6 linked regions of the Macaca fascicularis genome follow. The protein of the gene in region 1 purifies or fractionates together with the protein of each later gene. This does not show direct contact. Links are inferred from orthologs where the notes say so. Each region holds a gene or a part of one and is shown on either strand. Other genes may lie near its edges. The genes, in order: PNMA2, RECQL4, PKN2, TRIM33, CEP290 and MARK4.

What was found.
Region 2: the proteins of PNMA2 (region 1) and RECQL4 purify together in Homo sapiens (affinity purification with mass spectrometry; 3 studies listed by BioGRID and IntAct, with this or other methods). This does not show direct contact. The link is inferred for Macaca fascicularis from reciprocal best matches to the Homo sapiens genes PNMA2 and RECQL4.
Region 3: the proteins of PNMA2 (region 1) and PKN2 purify together in Homo sapiens (affinity purification with mass spectrometry; 3 studies listed by BioGRID and IntAct, with this or other methods). This does not show direct contact. The link is inferred for Macaca fascicularis from reciprocal best matches to the Homo sapiens genes PNMA2 and PKN2.
Region 4: the proteins of PNMA2 (region 1) and TRIM33 purify together in Homo sapiens (affinity purification with mass spectrometry; 3 studies listed by BioGRID and IntAct, with this or other methods). This does not show direct contact. The link is inferred for Macaca fascicularis from reciprocal best matches to the Homo sapiens genes PNMA2 and TRIM33.
Region 5: the proteins of PNMA2 (region 1) and CEP290 purify together in Homo sapiens (co-immunoprecipitation; 3 studies listed by BioGRID and IntAct, with this or other methods). This does not show direct contact. The link is inferred for Macaca fascicularis from reciprocal best matches to the Homo sapiens genes PNMA2 and CEP290.
Region 6: the proteins of PNMA2 (region 1) and MARK4 purify together in Homo sapiens (co-immunoprecipitation; 3 studies listed by BioGRID and IntAct, with this or other methods). This does not show direct contact. The link is inferred for Macaca fascicularis from reciprocal best matches to the Homo sapiens genes PNMA2 and MARK4.

What each region holds. Positions count from the first base shown.
Region 1 is NC_088382.1:29,696,248-29,700,427, forward strand, and holds the start of PNMA2 (paraneoplastic antigen Ma2 homolog), read right to left. Parts: upstream 2,801-4,180; 5' UTR 2,744-2,800; intron 1-2,743. Other genes in the region: DPYSL2 (dihydropyrimidinase-related protein 2), read left to right, coding at 3,254-3,607.
Region 2 is NC_088382.1:154,229,658-154,233,678, forward strand, and holds the start of RECQL4 (ATP-dependent DNA helicase Q4), read right to left. Parts: upstream 2,801-4,021; 5' UTR 2,726-2,800; coding exon of another isoform or gene 2,710-2,725; coding exon 2,642-2,709; intron 2,577-2,641; coding exon 2,543-2,576; intron 2,434-2,542; coding exon 1,975-2,433; intron 1,693-1,974; coding exon 919-1,692; intron 822-918; coding exon 695-821; intron 395-694; coding exon 263-394; intron 180-262; coding exon 87-179; intron 10-86; coding exon 1-9. UniProt on the Homo sapiens protein: An ATP-dependent DNA helicase which unwinds dsDNA with a 3'-overhang in a 3'-5' direction. Does not unwind more than 18 bp of dsDNA. May modulate chromosome segregation. The N-terminal domain (residues 1-54) binds DNA Y-shaped DNA better than ss- or dsDNA.
Region 3 is NC_088375.1:146,012,151-146,016,103, forward strand, and holds the start of PKN2 (serine/threonine-protein kinase N2), read right to left. Parts: upstream 2,801-3,953; 5' UTR 2,467-2,800; coding exon 2,419-2,466; intron 1-2,418. UniProt on the Homo sapiens protein: PKC-related serine/threonine-protein kinase and Rho/Rac effector protein that participates in specific signal transduction responses in the cell.
Region 4 is NC_088375.1:119,949,503-119,953,002, reverse strand, and holds part of TRIM33 (E3 ubiquitin-protein ligase TRIM33), read right to left. Parts: intron 2,072-3,500; coding exon 1,797-2,071; intron 1,104-1,796; coding exon 939-1,103; intron 1-938. UniProt on the Homo sapiens protein: Acts as an E3 ubiquitin-protein ligase. Promotes SMAD4 ubiquitination, nuclear exclusion and degradation via the ubiquitin proteasome pathway. According to PubMed:16751102, does not promote a decrease in the level of endogenous SMAD4.
Region 5 is NC_088385.1:95,016,416-95,019,915, forward strand, and holds part of CEP290 (centrosomal protein of 290 kDa), read right to left. Parts: intron 3,264-3,500; coding exon 3,156-3,263; intron 2,537-3,155; coding exon 2,337-2,536; intron 1-2,336. UniProt on the Homo sapiens protein: Involved in early and late steps in cilia formation. Its association with CCP110 is required for inhibition of primary cilia formation by CCP110.
Region 6 is NC_088393.1:53,353,924-53,356,637, forward strand, and holds the end of MARK4 (MAP/microtubule affinity-regulating kinase 4), read left to right. Parts: intron 1-917; coding exon 918-1,254; 3' UTR 1,255-2,214; downstream 2,215-2,714. UniProt on the Homo sapiens protein: Serine/threonine-protein kinase. Phosphorylates the microtubule-associated protein MAPT/TAU. Also phosphorylates the microtubule-associated proteins MAP2 and MAP4.

The sequences.
Region 1 (4,180 bases):
TTGAACCTGGGAGGTGGAAGCTGCAGTGAGCCGAGATCGTACCACTGCACTCTAACCTGAGTAACAGAACGAGACTCTGTCTCGAAAAAAAAAAAAAAAAGTTAGAGTTCCTAATACCTCCCAGTTACTGCTGCGGAGTATGTGTTAAGGGGCTACAACCATTTCCCCCTTGGCCTAAACATCTTCATCAACTCGAATGGGGGCCATACGCCACAGTGCTGTCCTGTAACTCTATCAGCAGTGCTCCTGCTGTGGGCACATCTCCTGAGTCTTCTAGGAGGTGCTGAAGGCACCAGCGGTGCCAGAGAGCCAGGAGGGCAAAATACTGCTTCACCCTGTGCCCAGGAGTCTCACAGACCTGAGACTGCTGACTTCTCCATGCCTGACATTTCCTTTCTAAAATGTGGGGGCTGTGGGGGAGGGGCAGGTACAGTGGCTCACACCTGTAAACCTAGCACTTTGGGAGGCCAAGGCGGGAGGATCACTTGAGCCCGGGAGTTTGAGACCAGCCTGGGCAACACAGTGAGACCCTGTCTCTACAAAAAGGAAAATAAAAAAATTAGCTGGGCGTGTGGCAGTCGCCTGTAGTCCCAACTACTTGGGAGGCTGAGGAGAGAGCCGAGCGGATAAAGGCTACAGTAAGCTGCGTTTGCACCATTGCATTCCAGCCTAGGTGACAGTGTGAGACTCTCTCTGAAAACAAAAACAAAAATAAAAAAACAACTGGGGGCAACCTTCCTCCCCACTGGGATATTTAGAGGAAACAGGGAATGTAAAAAGATACTGCCCAGGAAAAAGCATCTCTACGGTCTACAGAATGACTGCCATGCTGAAGTTAGGCTGTCTTCGGATGACTCTTCCTGCCAATGTGACCTGCAGTGTGACATTCAAATAAAAACATGGCAAAAAACACCCTTGATATACAATAGGGCCATGGATGGAAATATCTGGATACGGTAGAAATAGAAGAACCTTGTATTTTCTCACATAAAGGGGGTCACAGGACAAGCTGGAAAAGAAGCCAGACTTTGAGGTGGAAGCCCTCACTGGAATTGTTGGATCATTTAACTAAATACCCAACCTTGGCGATGCGCCCCAAGCTCTCTTAATCTGTTTCTTAACCTGGAAAGCAGTGCTGATAAGGCACGCATCTCAGAGGGGCTGTGAGGAGGAAATGATATAATTCATTTCCTTGGAATGAAGAAGGAAGCGCTTTTTTCAAATGCTTTATTCAAATGCAAAGCACATCTGGCGCTAAGTCCAAAATGCGCCCTCGGGTTCTCTCAGCCCCTCCACTCCTATATTCTTCCTCAGTCTCTCTTTCTCATCCGGAGACGCCTTTCCACCTATCACGGTGGGCTGATCTTCAAACTGCGACTGGTTGTCAACCAGATGTAACTCTATTCACCAAACTATCTCTCACAATTGGATGGTGGGGGTGGTTGGTAACCGCATTTAATCCTGGGCTGACAATGGGATTGGATTCCTGGTTACACGGCCCTGCGCGGTCGCCCTGCGGTAAATGGCCTCTCAGCCCAAACCCACCCTGGTTTACTGAGCATGCCCAGACCTCCCTCCCGGGCCACCAAAGGAGGGGCACCATTTCTGCAGGATTTTGCCACTGTGGAAAGAGAGGCGGAGCTGTCATCGCGCAGAGGCAGGGACTGATAGGCGGAAAGGACGTGGAGATGGGAATAAGTAATGAAGGACCCGCATTGACCGTGTTAGCACACAAATCTAATTGCCCTCTGGTGCAAACTTACCACCCTGTGGCCGTGGCTCAGCTACCTGCACACACACACCAAGTTCCTACACACCTTTCCCCCGCTTGGCCCCACACAATTCATGGCACTCACAGCCCACATCCTACCTCCTTCTCCGCACCAGATACGCACCCGCACTCACTCCCCAAACACGTGGCATCTGGTAACCTGGGAAACGCCGCGGCTGTGGCGCAGTGCGCAACAGGGGCGGGGGAATCAGGCGGGGCACTGGGGCGAGGGAAGCTGGAGATTTGGGGAGGGGGTTTCTATTCGTTTTTTCGCCCACTTTTTGTTTTTTGTTTTTTTGGTGGGGGAAGCAGAATAAACCAAACCGCGACACGTTCCTGCGCCCTTCTTGGTGCAGTGGCGCAGACATGGTCCATGGCGCCTTGGGCAATAGAGCAGGTCTGCACCCCCTCTCTAAGTCGTGGCACTGGGCTGGAATTCCCGACTGCACCCTTTGCTACACCCCCATAGACCACAGACCTGCGTCTCTCTCTATGTTCCTCTCCCATCTGCTACGCCCCTCTGCATTTCTTCCCGCCATGTTGTGTGTCCCCCAACTCCCCCGTCACCCCAACCACACCAAAGTGGATGCACGAAGCGGGAACCTTCTCGTTTCAGTCTCTGCTCCGTGCAGCCTGCCAAGGCGAGTGGGCAAACTGAAGCTTGGGTGTCCAGCGTCTTGGCTGCCCCCCTCCTGTCCACCCTGCGTGTGCTACCCCTTGTTCATCTTCAGTGTCAACCCCCTTCTCATACCCTGAGTAGCCTGGCGCATGGCTTGTCCCCTTTTCCCATCCATCAGCTCACACCCAGGGTAACGGGGCGGGAGCCCTATCCACAGTGCGCCCTCGCCCCCGGCCCACCTCCGCCATGCGACGGGGCAGAGGCGCCTGGACCAGGCAGGTGGAGGAGAGGGGCACTGGGGCAGAAGGCTGCGCCCTCGGGTCCTCACTCCGCGTGCCCTGCCCAATACTTACCCAGGCGCGGAGAGCGGTCAGCAGGCCCTCCGCTCCGCATCCATTAGCTGGTGGTCTGGCCGCTTCACTTCCGGAGCGCGGGGCTAGGGGCGGTGCCGCCCTCCCCTCTCTCTCTCCTTCCCTCCCCTCCAGCCCTCCCCTGCGCGCTGCTCCCCTCCCCGGCGCCGCGCCCCACCCGCGCCTCCCTCCTCCCCGCGCTGCCGGGAACTGGCAGCCTCTCGGCTCCCGCAGCCGCCGCGGACGCCCTCCCAGATCCAACTTTGCCGCTTACCCGAGCTCGCGCTGTAGCCGCGGGGGGCGTGGGCAGGGAGGGGAGAAGCGGGGTCAGGGGGAGGGACCGGGAGGGTGGGTCGCCGGCTCGCCAGCCCTCCTTCCTTTCTGTGCACCTTGCGGTGGGCGGCGAGCGGCAGCCGCGGCAGCAGCTAGGGGGCTTGTGCACACAGCAAGGGAGAGTTAGGGACTGGCAGACGGACGGACGGACGGCGAGGACCCTCCCTGAGCCCCCGAGCCATGGCCGAGAGAAAGCAATCCGGGAAGGCGGCAGAGGACGAAGAGGTCCCTGCCTTTTTTAAAAACCTGGGCTCCGGCAGCCCCAAGCCCCGGCAGAAATTCTGTGGCATGTTCTGCCCGGTGGAAGGGTCCTCGGAGAACAAGACCATCGACTTCGACTCGCTGTCGGTGGGCCGGGGCTCGGGGCAAGTGGTGGCTCAGCAGCGGGACGTCGCCCACTTGGGTCCGGACCCGCAGCCGCCGTACTCGCGGCAGGGCCGGCGCGCCGGCGGGGAGCCATCTGTTGAATCGAGCCGGAAGGTGGAGATCCGGAGGGCCTCGGGCAAGGAAGCCCTGCAGAACATCTACGACCAGGTCGGTGTGGGGGTGGGGGGTGGAGACGGAGGACGGGGCTCGGGGATCGCCCCTCCCTCGCCCCTGAGCCCGGCGCGCCCGCCTTCATGCCCCGCCCTGTACCTCGCCTCCCGCATCTGCACGCGCACCCCGCCCTACCCGCCCCTTCTCCGCGCAGGGTGCGGCGAGGCTCGGGCTGGGCGGTGGGCGACCGTGAGCCCACAAAGGCTGCCCGAGTCTCCTTGAGCTTGAGAGGTGGGGGGTGGGCGTAGGGGATGGGCTGATCACTTGCTGGGGCGGGCGGTGGTCGCCTGGGAGGGGGTTGGCCGAGGTTCCATTCTTCTGAAATCCTCCCGGGCGGCTTCCGATGGCAGCTGCAACTGGGTGCCCCACCCTTTTTTTGAGGCGGCTCGGAGCGTGCGGTGGAGGCTTTGCGTGAAGGCCCGCGGCTCCCCGGTGGTCGGGAGGGGTGGGGGTTCCGACGGCCGCTCCCCGCAGCCTCCGCCGGCGCCTTCTGCGCTCACGTCCTGAGCTCCGAGGCCAGGACCATGGTCAGCGCCCCCCGGACCGCCTCAGAGCACCGCACCGCCCTTG
Region 2 (4,021 bases), about 120 Mb from region 1:
TGGAGATGCCTGTGTGGGGCGCGAGTCAGCAGCGGGGTTCTGCAGCCTGGCCTCAGCCCGGCCTCAGCCCCGGCAGCCACGCTCACCAGACAGGATCCGCATGACTGCACGCTCCTGCCCAGGACGGAAGGCTTGGTGTCCCAGCTGCTCCAGGGCCTGGAACACCTCAGCCGGCGTCTCTGCAGACACAGGTGTTGACCACCATGACTTAAGTCACACCAACCCCTCGGTAAAGGCTCTGGGCCAGCAGCTGACTGCTTACCTGCCAGCTGCCCTGAGGGCCCCAAGGAGTAGAGTGGCAGCATGGTGGAGGCCAGGCCGGGCACCCCAGGCACAGGTTGTGGTGCAGGAACCAGCGGCTCAGGGCCAGCAGGGTCTGTGTCTTCCTCACTTACTGGGGCAGGCAAGAGAAGGTGGAATGGGAGCTCCAAGCAAAACAACCATTGGCCACAACCTTCTCTTCCCCCAAAGGGGTTGGCAGCAGGCAGTGCCCTTCTTCTGTGCTACTTCTTTTAAAGCATAAAAGGTTGATACCCATCCTCATCCTTGCCACCCTGCTTTGGGGGAGCCAGAGTAGGGCCTGGACCAGGGGCACCTGGAAGGTCTTTTGCTTGGAACAGAAGTGTCGCCCAAAAGAGTACCGTGCCCTCTCCACAGTGGTGGCCAGACCCACCCTCCAGGGCAGATGTCTCACCTGGCTGAGGACACTGGGGTGCCCAGTGATCAAACTGTTCATTCAGGAAACAAGACTCCTTGATCGTGACTGTGGCACCACCACCCCCAAAACACTCCCCTTTCTTCCGCCACTTCTGCTTCCATGCCTGAAGGGTGCCCACATAGGAGGGTCACTGGGTGGGACATGCAGGGGTGCTGAGGGGAGGGAAAGGGAGGGCCTGTCCCAGTCCATCGCCGTCTCACCTGCTTGCGGAGGAGCCTGCCACGGAGTGCCCGGCCCTGCACGTAGCGTTTCTGCTTCATGTTGAGCCGTACGTAATTGCCCCTGTCATGGCGGGCCAGCCTAGAGATGTGCAGATGGGCTGTGCCCTCAGCCTTACCCGCCCTAGCTTGACTGGAGGTGCTGAATCTGTGGTACCTGGGGGTCGACAAACTGCTGCAGGGCTGAGGTGGCTGTGCCTGTACAGGTTCCCCTGGAGGGTCTTCCTCAAGTGCGACAGCCCCAGCCCCCTCCGATGGGGGTCCAGCCTGGCTGCTCTGCTGCTGGACCTGTGCGGGGCTCCCCCAGAGCTCCTTGTTCCGTCTCTGCTTCTTGCCTCGACTGCTGCTGGGCTGGGGGCTCCCTGCACGGATGCTGACTTCTTGGAGGGCTGAAGCCTCTGGGTCTGGGGAGCCAGCACCAGGACCAAGGACAGCTGACTCACCCGGGATCAGAAGCTGTGATTCCTCTGAGCCTAGGCCAGGCCTGCAGGCTTTGGGGGCCCCCAGAAAGTCTGGGATCTCACTGTGACATCGCTGTAACCAGTCAAGATCTAGGGAGGCCAGCTGCTGGCTCAGGCATGCCTGCAGGTGCTGCAGCTGGCCCGGCCTTGGCTGGGGCCCAGGGGGCTGTGGAGGCTCATCACTGACTTTTTCTGCAAAGGTGGGGACAGGCCTTGTGCCTGGGGGATTTGGGGTGGGCGTCTTGGATGAGGATCTTCCTAGAGGCCAGGGTCTGCGGCCTGGGGCTGGTCCGGCCTGGGAAGGGAACAGAATGGCAGCAGAAACTCAGGCCCCTGGGCTTCTGTAGACTCTGAAACCTGCCTGAGTTCCCACCTTCAATGGTAAGACAGGCTAATTAGCACAAGGCTGGCCTAGAAAGGGAGTCAAGGGCGAAGGCCCCGAGAAACTCCGTGGAGACTCGTGCCCTGGTTGGCACAGGAGCCTGTGCCTGTCTGTGTGGAAAGAGTGACAAGAAACAACCCCGGGCCAGAAGCACCTCTGGACCTAGTGTGGACTCACTGCTTGCTAACTCCTCACCTGCAGGGTGCCTTTCAGGTTGGCCTTGAGCCGCTGCCCGTAGTCCGGCACCGACCCCTGGCAGCTCCGCCCTGGCGTATGTTGTGGACTGTGGGTTGCAGCCCGATTCAGGTGGGGCCCCCAGCAGTGGGACTCTGGTGCCTGCAGGAGACAGTAGGGGCGCAGGCCAGAAAAAGGCTGGTGTGGAAGCAGAGGCGCTCCCACCCACCCCCTCACACCTGGAGCGAGGCCCGGCCCGTCTTCACTTTGCTCAGTCCCCCTCCCAAGTTCTGTGCCCCACGGAGGCCTGGCCGCGACTCCGTGGCTCCTGCCACTCCGCCAAACAGGAAAGTGGGAGGAGGCTGGGGTGGCGGGGCCTGGATACCTCTTCGACGGCCACGGGGAGCAACTCGGAGCTGCGGGGCCCGCCGCCGGCCTGGCCCACGGTCCGCTTGAGAGTACGATACTCCCGGTAGAGCGCTGCGTGGGCGGGCGGGAGGCGGGGTCAGGGTGGAGCCTGGGCCCCCGCCGACCTGGCGTCCTCCCGCCTCCGTCGACCCGGGACCCCGCCACCCCGCCGCGCGCTCACCGCGGGTCTCCTGCGGCGCCGCCTCCACGTCATCCTGTAAAGGGAACGCGTCAGCCGCGGGCCGCGCCCTCAGCCCCTCGGCCCCAGGGCATCCCGTACCTGGCTCGGCCGCCGCCCGCGCTCCCGCCGGAACGCGCGTTCCCACGCTTGCAGCCGCTCGCGCACATCCCGCAGCCGCTCCATGGCGGGCCCGCCAGGTCTCCGAGCAGTCCAGCGGCCGCCCAGCGAATCTCCCGCGCCGCAGACGATGGGGCCAACAGCCAATGCGGGCGCGCGGCAGGCCGGGGGCGGGGCCACCGCGACCAGGCAGCCAATCCGCCGGGCCCTGGACAAGCAACCAATGGGGGGCGCCGACGTCATCGCGGGGCGCCGCGGCGCCGTGCGGGGCGCGGCGGACGGTCTAGGCGGGGCCGGAGGCGGTGGCTGCGGCTGCGGGACCGGTGAGCGCAGGCGGCCAGGCGGGGGTCGGAGTGGGGCGGCGTACGTCCCTGGCCCTGCCTGGCCGCAAGGGGCGTGGCAGCGGTCGCTCGGGGCGGCCCGGCTGAGGGAGGCAGTAGCTGCATTTGGGAGCCCGGGGCCGAAGCCGGGAGCCCGGGCGGTGCCATAGCGGGCCGGGAAGGACTGGGAGTCCCCCGGCCGGTCGGAGCGGCGTCAGGCCCTGGTGGGAGACGCACCTGGCTTGGAGGAGCAGGCCCCGCCCGGGACAAGAAAGAGCGGAGGGACCAGCGCCTCCCGCGACTCGAGGCCCAGAGGAGCCGGGCGGGGGCGTCTTTTCGAAACGCAGGCAGCCGAGGGCCGACGCGTTCCCCGTGGCCGGCGGGAGGGGCGGGGGCCTCGCACGGAGGTGCCTGCCTCCCTTGGTGGCCAGGCCGTCTGCTTTCGTGTACTCCCGTGACAGGTGCTCGGTTGGTCTGTCCTGTCAGAGCGAGGTATGACCGTTGAGATCTCAGAATGAGACCGAGGGTTGGTGTCTGGGACTTTTCAGGAAGCGGTTCTTTAAGGACTTATTTGTATGTGCAAAAACAAGGGCCCTGGGGCCAGAGTGTCCTCCCTAGACCCCTTCCCTGACTTGTCACTCAGGCTGTGACCTTGGGCCAGGCCTAGGCCTTCATTTTCTAATCTGTCACAGGGAGATGGCTGCGATTTAGTTTTGAGGATGCTGCAGTCAGCAGCAGGGCTGGCACCCTGTGTCACAGGTACCTTGTGGCCTTGGGAGTGTTCGCGCGCATCTCTGCAGCTTGGGTGCTGCTTAGGCAGCTTTCTTTGCCTTGTCTGAGCAATCTGTAGCCTTGCACCTTCCGAATCCCACATACTTAAGACTTGTTCTTTCCACAGTGGCTCTCCAGGGAAGAGGGAGAGGTTTTAGGCCACTGGTAAGAGCCACCAAAGGTGAAGGTTGCTTTCTTTCAGGGGTCTTCGTGCTTGGTGACACTCTGGAGAATAGTTTTTTTTGGGGGGGGCTTATATTGAAGGCTTGGA
Region 3 (3,953 bases), on another chromosome or scaffold:
AGTATTCCTGAGACAGGATACATAGCAAAGTAACAGTTTTAACCATTAAATACATCTTAAAACTGGCTACAGAATTTCTTAAATACTTAAAATCTGTATGGCAGAAAAGAATTAAGAATGTCATATTAAACAGTATTTCAGTCTAAGTTCAAACAATTTAGAAGCTTTTAAAAAAACTGATTCTTGAAACGAAAGTTTAATAAATACTTGGTTACTGTACACTAAGTTTCAGGACCCAATGAAATAAAATGTTTGAACGGATGGAAATATTTGGTGAAGCAAACTTTATGACTATCTTTAGTGTTGATGTAAGTAATATTCTCAAAAATTTTAATAAACACGATAAAGTTTAAATGCAATAACTTTTATCAAAACTGGGAGTCAAATAAACCAAGAAAATGACTTGGATATATGACAACCTATAAGGTAACACTTAATAAAAACTATTCTTTTTTCTGGAAGGGGTTATATTTCAGTTTATCTAGAAGCTTAACTTTAGGTGTTCCTCTATTTTGGTCATATTTCTAAGTCATCATATTGAAAATTTCTTCCTTCTTTGCTTGCTTCCTTGTTATTACCAAAATTGATCTTTTTAATTAAAAGATCCTAAATGTTGTATTTTAATACACATGAAAATATAATTTTCAGTTCCAGTGCCAAAGTAGGTGTCTTTTATGCCAATTTTCTATAAAATACAAGTAACAATGCCAAATATATTATAACTCGAACACTGCTCAATTCAAAAGAAAACTGACCCTATCATCCTTCTCAATCAAAACCAAAGTATGTTTTTCATGGTTCAAGACCAGGTAATGTAAAGTATTTCTCACTTGCCTCACATCATCTCCATTTTAAAAGCTGATGCAAATTATTTACTATTAATAAAATAGTAAATTACATTCATTTAGCAAATGTGGTATGCTGTACGATCTGCTTATAAAAGGCTAACTGTAATTAAAATATTACATAGCAACATTTTCAATGATATGAAATTCAGCTTTGCATTACCAAAGGATTCTAAATGTGCAACACTGCATTGGTATACATTGTTACAATCTCTATTTTTGTGGAGGAATATCAACTATTATACCAACGTTTTCAACCTTACGTCTGACTGCACAAGAAACCAAACTTATAAAGAGATTTCTTAAAAAGTGTATTTAAACAAGAAATTTAGATGCAGTTGCAATACTTAATTTTGACATCAAGAATCAACTGTTTCAGAATTTCTAGATTTAGTCTTTCTTTAAAAAAATTAACTGTCCAACACACAAAAAGACATGCAAGCATGCTATTTTTTTCCCTAATTCCCATCTACAATCTTCGAGTAGCTAAAAGATAACTATATTAAAATAAAGCAAAATAACTTTTAAGTCAAAAAAACATGAAATTTTAACATCTTTGTTAAAATTCAGATGTAAACACTTCTGGAACACTGCCAAGTAATGAAAAACCCGACAGGGTAGCTTAAGTCCCCATGTACACCATAGAGATCTAAAAACGAAAATCGTGCCTACATCATCAAATATTTAGCTGGAAATGGGAAAATAATAATACTGCTACTCGACATGGACTTAACTAAGCGATCTATTTTGCTCTTATCTTTTGCAGACATGTGGTGCCCAAGTTTTCCCTTTCTCATTAGTAAACAACTTATATAGCTCTTTCTCTGGTGCTCAAATGAGAGGGAAAATGAAAGTCTGAAAAGCATCAGCATCTGAGCTTCCGGATCTGGGCAGGGGTAGCCGAGAAAGGCACCGTGTATCTATCACTTAGTTTAAAAAAAAAAAAAAAAAAAAGGAAAAGAAAAAGATAACTCTCAAAATAGAGGAAAGAAATTCTGCCACCTGAAGAGGGCTGGCGAAGTGAAGCAAGCATTTGGTGAGACTCGTTTTTTTAAAAAAAACTTGTCTAGGGGCTGGAAGTTATGGGGGCGCTCTTTGTGCGGAGTCTGAGGGGAGGGGGAGGGACAAGAAAACAGCTTGGGAGTCATTCAAAAGAGTTTAAGGAGCCGAGTACGGAGGAAAGGCGGGGCGGGGCCCAGCCGCGCGAAGGGAGGGGGCGACAGGGGCGTTCGCGGGCAGCTCTGACACCGCGGGAGGGGGCGACGGGCCGGCCTCTCCAGGGACCGGGCGAGAGCAGGCTCCAGCTGCAGCAGGGCTGCAGAGATGGGGTTCCCTCTGGTAGGCAGAATCAAAGCAAAGCGGTGGCAGGCCAGGGCTTTGGCGGGGGAGAGGGTCTGGCTCCCGAGGGAAGCGGTTCCCCGAGGGAAGCAGTTCCCGAGTGACATCCCGGACTTTCCGCACTTAGCGGGCTAGGGGCGCGGCGGCCGCAGGGCTTTCCTTGGTCCCCGACGCCGCGCGGGGCTCTTTCCCTGTCTACTCAGCCAGCGACTCTCGCCAGGGCCGCGGCCCTTACCTGCAGTTCCGTGAGCATAATCTCCCCCCGTTCGGGGTTGGACGCCATTGCGCTCCGGTATGGACTCCGCACCTGGAGGCGGCCGCCGCTGGCAAAGGGAGAAGGCGGGACGGGGCTCAGGGTGGGGGGTGAGGAACGGGGAGAGAAGAAAAAAAAAAAACACAAAAACTAGGGATTCATGGAGGCGCAGCCCCTGCTGGAGGCGCGGCTTATTCCGTCCGGTTCATCGAGAGCGGCGGGGGTGCGAGGGCACTCGTAGCGGGCTTCCTCTCGCCGCCCGCCCGCCGCCGCCGCCGCCCGCACCGGACTGTTCGCCTAGTCGCTCCCTCTGGGCGACGCCAGGAGCCGCCTCAAGTCTCTCCGTGCGGGGCGCTGCGGCCGCGGCTGTAGCTCCTCCTGTCGCACCATTTGGCTGTCACCGCGTCGCAAAAGCGGCCTCACTTGGCGGCTGCCAGCACACGTGACGGCGGCAGTCACTGCCTCTCATCGGGCTGGGAAGGTGGGGCAGAGGGGTTCCCCAGGGCTAGCAAGGCGAGAGGGCGGGGCGGCTTCCGACCCGACTCCGCGCGAGGGCAGCCATTGGACTCGGCTGGGGTGAAAATGAGGGGAAAGGACTGGGCTGGAGTCTCTGGGGAGGCGGGAAGAGGAAGAAAACACACGCCTACTTTCCTGCTGCGTTAACGGCCTCACTGTGAACACTAGAACTCGGGAGCCTGCTCGCTGTTGTTTTTTTAGGTTTTTTATTTTTTTTCTTTTTCTTTTTTTCCCCCCAGTTCTACCTTGCCGAAGCTTGGGCCTAACTTTAACAGGCACTTTTGTAACCTCCACAACCCAAAAAGCTTCGGAACTCAGATCTTACAGATTACTCCTCTGTTCTTCCCTTGCCCGGCCATCCCCATCAACCCAAACTAATAATCTTGCCTTTTGCTCACCCTCTTCCCCAGCCCACAGCGCGCCTTCTGGACCAGTTAAGGTGCGCAGCTTGCTAAACGGGTCTGGTCTGTACTTTTCATGAAATGTAAGCGGCTGGATCCCTGGCAACTTTTAATGCACAGCCTTTAAGATGCCTTTTTCTTGAAGCTGAACTACTGTTTCTTGTGCTGGAGAACTCTAGAGCTGAGAATTAGCTGGTTTTTTGGATTGTTTTAACTTTATTTAAAGAGGGAGGAGGTGGGACGGGATTACCCTCGGGAAAGGAAAAAAGCCAACTCTCCTTGTCGTGGTAAGCATTAAAGCTAACCTGACTACTTAGTAACATATAGCTAAGTAGAGTAAATCTAGGTGTTTGTTTTTAATGACACTGTAGTATTAAGGAATTTAGAAGTCTCCCACAGGTAGCTTTTGTTTTTGTTTTGTCTGAGCAGTGAATGGATAGGTAAACACGTAACTTTCAATTTTTTGAAGCTGCGGTGCAATTCCTTTGTTAAAAACTACCTGGAGAAAGTGGTAAGGGTTATTTAGGTAGGTTGCTACTTAGGAAGGACATTCGTTGACATAATTCTTAGGAAGCGTAATATTACGTACTTGTCACACGC
Region 4 (3,500 bases), on another chromosome or scaffold:
GGCTCAAGCAATCCTCCTGCCTCGGCCTCCCAAAATGCTGGGACTACAGGTGTGAGCCACCAGTCCCAACCAAGAAGCGTGTTATTTTAAGGAGCTCTTTCTCGACATACATGGACCAAAAAGTTGAAGGACCACTGTTCTAGGACAGTGTTTCTCCAACTTTACTATGCAGACTGACCTGAGAGACTTAGTACAAACTTAAATATTACTGAGTACTCCCCACCTAGAAATTCTGATTCAGTGGTTATGGCTAGGAATCTATTCTGACAAGGTCGCCCACCCCACCCAAGCTGACTGGTGATTCTGATGGTCTTTAAAACATGTTTTGAGAAACATCATTCTAAGAGTTAAAAAATAAACTCTATTGTAACTAGAAATCCTATGAAAAAGTGGCCTCACTTTATACTCATATCTCCCATATAAACATAACTAGGCAAAGATTATGAAACATGTATCTAAATACACTTATTAAAACGTATCTACATCCTAAAAGGAACAATATTTGAGTACAGAAAAGGTTAAAAAAAAATACAGTTAGCTCTATTACTCTCAAAGCCCTTTTTATATATTAGGATCAAAAAGTCACATTAAAAGAGCAGAGCAGCATTAAGGTTCTTGCTATTTTATCACTGCTTTTTGGGATTGTGGGTAAAATCACCAGCTCATTAGATTTGTTTTTCACTTCTGTAAATTGAATGGGTTAACTATATCAGGGTTTCTTAACCCATAGTATATGATGCACTTAAGGCAATTTTTAAAAGCTCTTAAAATTAAATACAAAATCTCATGTGTATGTTTATTTTTCTGGGACAAGAGGATATACAGCATTAATCAAATTCTCAAACATATCAATGACCTGCTCCCAAAAAGTGATTAAGAAAATGGTGTCTTTTAATTTTAAAATTGTAGGATTCTTACAAATGTAACTCTAGGCATACTTGTCTTTGGAGGTGTGGCTGCATCATGGAATACTGAGGGCTGCTGTGCCTGGGTATCCCTGGTATTCTGGCAGCATTCTGAGCGAGTCTCATCTGATGGGCTTGAAAAGCTCCACAGTTCATGTTGCCTCTTTGCATTGTTTGCACACTGATCAATCGAGGAGGCTACAAAAAGTAGAAATTGCAATTTATGTAATAATTTTAAAATAAACTTATATTTTAATTATAAAATGTAATCATAAAAATAATTGAGTCAAGATAAAAGGGTATCAAGTAAAAAGTATAAATAATTCTTATCGCTAGCCCCAATCCCCAGAGGACTGGTAATGACTAGTTTGTGTATCACTCCCTAATTTCCCTTTTCTCTCTCTCTCTTTTCCGTTCCCTCTCTTTCTCTCTGTATGTGTGTTTAAAGCGTATCAACATTAACTTAACCCATTCTGGATTAATAGTTTTGATTGGGATGGCAGTGGAGACAGCAAAAGACACATACGGATAGGAATGATTTGAACAAATGCCTAAGGAACATATCAGATCCCAGGCAGAAACAATCTGGTCCTTTGGTCCACACAATTACACGTGGAAAACAAAAAAGATTTGATGTGAAAGGATGAGAACTTACATCCTTCCACAGTATTAGTGAATTAATTCTGTTTCCCAAGAAAATTTATTTACTGCCTTTCTTCATACCTCCCTTATATCACCATCATAACCACAGCAAATATTTAAACTCTGACTTTTGAGCTCTGCTCAAAGTCCTGCTAGTAACTCTGAAATGTGTAACTTTCTTACATAGGAAAAACTGTCACGTTGAGGACTTCATAATTTCTATCAATAATGTAGTAACACCATACTTACCTGTTGTTGTAACATCTGAGGGGCTGCTTGTCTAGGATGCTGTTGTGTTGTTGTTGTTGTAGTTGGTACAGGTGCTGGTGGTTGCTGCATCCTCATCTGTTGCAACTGCTGATGTTTCTGTGCATACACTTGTTGTTGCATGTGCTGAAGTCGAAGCTGTGCTAAGTTAATCTGTCCAGGGGTTTTACTAATGTGGTTTGTCCCTGGAGGAACTTGCCCAACTACAACATTAGGAGTATAACCAGGAGTTGGTTTACTCTCTATTACTAGATTACCTGAAAAATTTAAAAAATGAGAATTTGCATATAATCAACTAAATCATCTACTTTGTTGAGTAATCACCATGTTTTCCTCTTTCCTCTGACAACTACCAGCACCTCAAAGCTCCAACGGTACAGCAGGGAATGGAGTCAGTTTAAAGATGATGATGATGATGATCAGAAACTTAATACATTCCAAAGCTGAATAAATGACTTTTGGTTATTCAGAAAAATATATTCTCTGCCTTTATTCTTTTTTACACAGACGTACAGAAAACTAAGAGACTAAAAGAGATATCTATTAGAAGAGGCCTATCGAATCAATCTAAATCAATTCTCCCATGACAAGACTTACTCAAGAATACTCGAGATTGCTAATACTGATTCCATCTGCCTTTGAATTGCCAAAATATGCAAGGCAGAGCATTACAATGCCACAAAAGCATCTTCTGAGGAAATACTGAATGCTTTAAACAACTTATATCCTTAGAAGTGATGGTTTTCCTTGCTTTTTACGGAGCCATAGATTTCCAGGGACAGAAGCCAAATTTTAGGAAGATGTGATTTAAGGTGCAGGTTGACAGGCTTTTCCTGTAATGGGCCACAGAGTAAATATTTTATGCTTGGCAGGCCACATAAGATCTGTCTCACAGTCCTTGGTTTTTGTTTTTACAACCAGTTGAAAACATAAAAACCATTCTTAGCTACCATGTCACACAGAAACAGCTGGCTGATGCCAGAACTAAGGCTATAGCTAAATTTGAATATAATTTTTTTCTTGTATGCAAAGATTACTTTTTTTTTTTTAAATAACAGAAGGGCAATCAGCCTCTGCTTTTACAATTCCCACTGTTTAAGACTTAACTGTTCTGAAAGTGAGTTTACTCAATCTGTAGATAGCTTACTCTAATTGCTAAGAAGTTTGTATGCATGTGTTTTAATTGAGCTCTCTGTAACTTTCATCTATGGTCTTTAGGTCCATACTATGCTGTAAACAAAAGCAAAATCCATTTCTCTTCCATGTGAAAAGAGCTACTCTTATCTTTCAAACATTCCTCAGGACCTAACTACTGGACACATTAGCATCCTAAAAGTCTGCTGCTAATGCACAATTTGGCTTAATTAAACAACTAAACACCTATGAAATTATTCCAGACAATGAATCATTTGCTAAGATTTCTATACGAAACAGTCAATATAAATTTAAAAGATAGCGGGTCGGGGGTCTAGAAACAGTACACATTAAAAAAATATATACAGAGTAGACTCTCAACTTTCTTAAGACGTAATGACTGGCATACAAAACCACAGCTAAAGTGAGTTTCCAATGAATAACAACATATTTTTACATAAAATGTAAAACGTAAATAGTTTTATATTTTAAAGTTAAAAATTTTATCTAAATTTGCTTTATTTTCTCCTCCTAATTCAGTGTTCCAAGTTA
Region 5 (3,500 bases), on another chromosome or scaffold:
ACCTGGCCAAACACATGTAATTAATAGAGTGGTTGCTGCAATTAATACCTTGATTAATACAAATTTCACACAGAGCAAATGTTCAGTCCTAACTATCCTTACAATCTAAATCTTGATGCAGGCAGCCAAATCCAGAGAAGAGTAATTCTTTATTTCACTTAACTACTCTTTAATTTAACAACACGTTTTTCTTCTAGTTTCTAATATTTTTGGCAACAATCTTATCAAATTATTTTGTGACTCTAATCAAATAATATAGAGAATGAACAAAAGGGCATTTTAGATACTATGGCTCTTGTAAAATTTGACTGCTTCCTCTATATGATAGTTTCCTAACCACACTACTAGTAACATTTTTGAGTGAATGATTCTTTGTTGTTAGTGGGGTTGCCTTGTGTATGATAGGATGATTAGTAGCATCTTTTGATTCTACCCACTAGATATCAGTAGCACCCCCTAGCCATGACAATCAAAAATGTCTCCAGACATCGTCAAATGTCCCCAAGAGGTACAACTGTGAAAAACTGATCCTCTATATTTGAGAAATACTGCCCTATATTGACATATTGAAAAGACTAATATAAATTTTCACAGAAATCACATGTATTATTTATTTGTTTATGGTACAAATTCACTAGCATTGTATCTGTAACTATATATATATATGGAAGTGGATAGTATTAAAAGATTTAGTTAATTCAATTAATCTTATTGCTCATTCAGCATTAAGTCTGTTAAACTGAATTAATATATTGTTGTGCATATGGACACTGCATCCGTACTGAGGTTCTGACCAGTAAGAGGGAGACAGCATTAACACATGAACAAATGTTATTCTTTGAGGCTTCTTGCTTTTGGCAAAACTTAAGTCTAACTTTAAAGAGTCATCATCAAATTGTGAAAATATCAGGTTTTACTTAAGTAATCACACGGATCCATAATTTCCTAATATACATCAAAATGGGCACACAGAGAACACAAGTACAATTTTGGGCTACAATGACATGATAAGGTACACAACAATAACTTCAATTATTTCATGTGGAAAAAAATTATATAAGGTATTTCAAAAGATTATTATTTTCTACACCCACAAATTGGATGCAAAAGCACAAGTCATTTTATACTCCAAAACATGACAGAAATTTACTAGACCAAAAATAACATCTCATGTACAAAATTTAATAGAGCAAGGAAAAGAGACTGAAAATACACATATGCTGCTGCCAATTTTCCTTCTTTTAGAAAGTAATTTCTTAACAGTGGCAGCTCCCTAGTAAAACAAAAATAGTGTTAATTCTGTCATAGGCATTTGAATAAGAGTGTAAAGAATCAAAGGCTCTAATAGGGGCTTGAGAGCTGAAATGGAATTATAAGTCAAGTAGTTCAACTTTCTCATGTTTTTTCAGATAATAAAATTTAGGCCCATACAGATAATACTACAATGTTTAGAAACTACGAAACTATAAACCTATTTTGAGCTTAAAATCTATGTTCTGATAAATTGGTTGAACAATGTTAGAATCTCTATTATATGCCAGACACTCTTATAAGTGTGCAAACAAAAGTTTTTTATCTGTATGTTATTTGACAGTTTTCAAATTACTTTCATACATGGTATAATTTGACCTTCATATAACCACCCTGAAAGGGCCAGGGTAAGTACTGCTATTTCCATTTTAAAGATGATGAGGCCAAGTGCAGTGACTCAGGCCTGTAATCCCAGCACTTTGGGAGGCCGAAGTGGGCGGATCACTTGAACTCACGAGTTCGAGACCAGCCTGGGCAACATGGAGAAACCCTGTCTCCACAAAAATACAAAAAACTACCCAGGTGTGGTGGCACCTGCCTGTAGTGCCAGCTACTCTGGAGGCTGAGGTGGGAAGATAGCTTGAGCCCAGAAGGTCAAGGTTGCAGTGAGCCGAGATTATGCCACTACACTCCAGCCTAGGCAATAGAGCCAGACTTTTCTCAAAAATAAATAAATAAATAAAACAATAAAAATAAATAAATAAATAAGATGAAACTGAGGTTTGAATAAGGTAAAAATGAGATTCTGGAAAAGAATTTGTATTGGCTTTTGAGTCAGACTGACTAGTTTCAAATTATGGCTTTCCCATCTACTCCCAGGCATGCTATTAAGCATTCCTGAGGTCATATCCTCTCTATAAAATGGGGAAAATGATAACATATGTAATCAGTAGACCTGAGGATAAAAATGAGACAATATACTTAAAAGTCTTAGAACAGTGCCTAGCATAGCAAACACTTATGTTTATCTTCATTATATCATTATTATCATTTGCCTATTTTTACAATACATTTTGAAGACTTACCGTAATTTGATATTTTCAAATTCTTTTACTTTTAATTCAGTGATTTCTCTTTGTCTCTCTAAATCTTGTGACACTTTCTTTAGTTTGATCAAGAGTGAGGAGAGAGAGTCATCTTGTTCTGCTACTGTCTGCTCCATCTCAGCCAGACGAATAAAATGCTTGTTGGTAGGAACTGGAGTGGGAGACTGTTTCATTAAATCCTATAAAATATGAATATATTAGCAAACAGGCATGTATATTTCAATGCCATACTTATTCTATATTTTTAAATTGGTTCTTCAAATGATCAAAATACAATATCTAATCTAAAATTTAATGATTTAACAGATAATGAAGGCTTAAAGAAGACAGGAAATATAGACCTTATTCTTTGTATTTACAATAGCTAACAAAGTGTCTACATGTAGCAGGAGATCAATAAATGTTGACTGAATTAATGAAGTAAGGCTCAAATATGCTAAGGTTATACATTAAAAGATGAAAGACACATCATTTCATACATATGGAACAGAATGGTCAAAAGAGGCAAATATGAGCTGAATTCCGGAAGTTAAATATAGGTAAACTTATAGTGAATAGAATTTGAAAAGAAAGGCAGGTAAGTTCATAGAAGATTGAGTATATGGGTAAGGAGTATAAATATAATTTTGTGAACAGTGATGAGCTACAGGAGGAAGAATGATCAGAGCTACATTTTCAGAAGATTACTTTGGCAACAAAAAGCGTAACTTGTATTCCAAAAAAGGAGAAGATAACTGAATTTTAATGTATTTGGTCTAAAAATCAATAAAGAATGGAACAAAGTTCTTAGAATCTTACCCAAGCTGTTTGTTTGAATTTATTTAGTGAACTATCAGCCTGTAGTTCTAATTTGTGATGAAGAATATGAAGGTCTTCCTCATGTTTCTTCACAATTTCTCTTTGCTCCTGTTTTAAAGAAAATCAAAACTATATCTTAAATTGTGATTAAAATAAATTCACATTTTGAAGACCTTATATATTTTCTCTTTAATCTTCTAAAATTCCTTCGAGATGAGGAAGAAACAGTATCTCCATATATGTATGTATTTAGACCGGTAGGCATGTTCCCTCGCACAGTGTTCAAGTTGACAGGCCCAGCCTCAGTTCATAATTTATTCTGAACATTAGAATAACACGTATCTA
Region 6 (2,714 bases), on another chromosome or scaffold:
ATCCCAATTACTGGGGAGGCTGAGGCAGGAGAATCGCTTGAACCCAGGAGGCGGAGGTTGTGGTGAGCCGAGATTATGCCATTGCACTCCAGTCTGGGTAACAAGAGCAAAACTCCCTCTCAAAAAAAAAAAAAAAGCCGGGCGCGGTGGCTCAAGCCTGTAATCCCAGCACTTTGGGAGGCCGAGATGGGTGGATCACGAGGTCAGGAGATCGAGACCATCCTGGTGAACATGGTGAAACCCCGTCTCTACTAAAAAATACAAAAAACTAGCCGGGCGAGGTGGCGGGCGCCTGTAGTCCCAGCTACTCGGGTGGCTGAGGCAGGAGAATGGCGTAAACCCGGGAGGCGGAGCTTGCAGTGAGCTGAGATCCGGCCACTGCACTCCAGCCTGGGCAACAGAGCCAGACTCAGTCTCAAAAAAAAAAAAAAAAAAAAAAAAAAACAGAAATTTCTCATTCAAACCATGTGGCCAAGCCAGGCTGGTAGGGCCACCCGGATCTGCGCAATCATTCACGTCCCCAGGTTTTTCCATCCCCATTCCCTGAAGCCCTCATGTCATCTTCACAATTGAGGCTGGCTTGTGCCACTGCTCAGTCCAGCTCCTGGGAGATGCGGGACAGGAGAGCCTGGAGCATGCAGGTTCTCTGAAGGAACTGATGTGGTGGCACACCTCACTTCTGCTCATGTCCCAGAATTTAGAGACAGGGTCACACCTGGCTGCAAGGGAGGCTGGAAAGTGTGGTCTCCAGCTGGGGGGCAGCTCTGTTCCAGTTGAAACTGTCACTGGCATAGCAGGGGAAGTTTTTTGAGGGGACGGCTAGGAATCTGTCCCAAATTGGGAAGAGGTATCCCTTCAGCCCTCCACCACATTCCTCTTCGCTCCCATCTCTGACCCCTGATATCTTCTCACCTCAGTTGCCATCTACCTTGGGATCAAACGGAAACCGCCCCCCGGCTGCTCCGATTCCCCTGGAGTGTGAAGCTGACCAGCTCGCGCCCTCCCGAGGCCCTGATGGCAGCTCTGCGCCAGGCCACAGCAGCCGCCCGCTGCCGCTGCCGCCAGCCACAGCCGTTCCTGCTGGCCTGCCTGCACGGGGGTGCGGGCGGGCCCGAGCCCCTGTCCCACTTCGAAGTGGAGGTCTGCCAGCTGCCCCGGCCGGGCTTGCGGGGAGTTCTCTTCCGCCGTGTGGCGGGCACCGCCCTGGCCTTCCGCACCCTCGTCACCCGCATCTCCAACGACCTCGAGCTCTGAGCCACCACGGCCCCAGGGCCCTTCCTCTTCCTCTCCCTTGTCCCCTTCACTTCTAAAGGAGGGGAAGGGGCCAGGGAGGGGAATTCTCCCTTTATCATCACCTCAGTTTCCCTGAATTAGATTTGGGGGCAAAGATTGTCCCCTCTGCTGTTCTCTGGGGCCGCTCAGCACAGAAGAAGGATGAGGGGGCTCAGCGGGGGGAGCTGGCACCTTCCTGGAGCCTCCAGCCAGTCCTGTCCTCCCTCACCCTACCAAGAGGGCACCTGAGGAGACTTTGGGGACAGGGCAGGGAGGGAAACTGAGGAAATCTTCCATTCCTCCCAACAGCTCAAAATTAGGCCTTGGGCAAGGGCAGGGAGAGCTGCTGAGCCTAAAGACTGGAGAATCTGGGGGACTGGGAGTGGGGGTCAGAGAGGCAGATTCCTTCCCCTCCCCTCCCCTCCCGCTCAAACCCCCCACTTCCTGCCCCAGGCTGGCGCGGGGCACTTTGTACAAATCCTTGTAAATACCCCACACCCTCCCCTCTGCAAAGGTCTCTTGAGGAGCTGCCGCTGTCACCTACGGTTTTTAAGTTATTACACCCCGACCCTCCTCCTGTCAGCCCCCTCACCTGCAGCCTGTTGCCCAATAAATTTAGGAGAGTCCCCCCCCCCACCCCAGTGCTGACCCTAGAATTTTCCTTCCCTGCCCTCACCTGCAAATGAGTTGAAGAAGAGGCCTGGGAATCCAGGCAGTGGTTTTTCCTTTCAGAGCCTCGGTTTTCTCATCTGCAGAATGGGAGCAGTGGGGGTGGGAAGGTAAGGATGGTCATGGAAGAAGGCAGGATGGAACTCGGCCTCATCCCCGAGGCCCCAGTTCCTACATCGGGCCCCCCATTCATCCACTCACACTCCCAGCCACCATGTTACACTGGACTCTAAGCCACTTCTTACTCCAGTAGTAAATTTATTCAATAAACAATCATTGACCCGTGCCTACTCCATGCCAGGTCCAGTGCTGGACACAGAGACACAAAGCCCTGTCTGTGGGAGACATGGATTCTGACACAGACACTGGACAGGGGAGTCCAGAAGAGAAAGCGGGCAGGGTGGGGTCACTGGGGAAGATGCTCTAGAGGAATTAATGCTTGAGTGGAGTGTTGAAGGATGAGTAGGAGTTGGCTAGGCATTGAGTTTGCCCTGGGCAAAAGCCCAGAAGTGGGAGTATGTGGTATATCTTCAGAGAACTGGGTAATTTCAGTGTGGCTACTGTGTTGGGCATGGATGGAGAATTAACAAGAGAAATGCTGTATTAGGACTAATAATCCATCTATACTGCTTAAGCAAAAAGGTATTTGTTGGCTTAGCTTACTCAATAGTACAGGGGCACCTGACTTCAGGTAGGTTTGATCCAGGCATCAGACCATTGCATCTATTTTTCAGTGTAAGTTGAATTCTAGTAGTTTGTATCAAGTAAGTGCA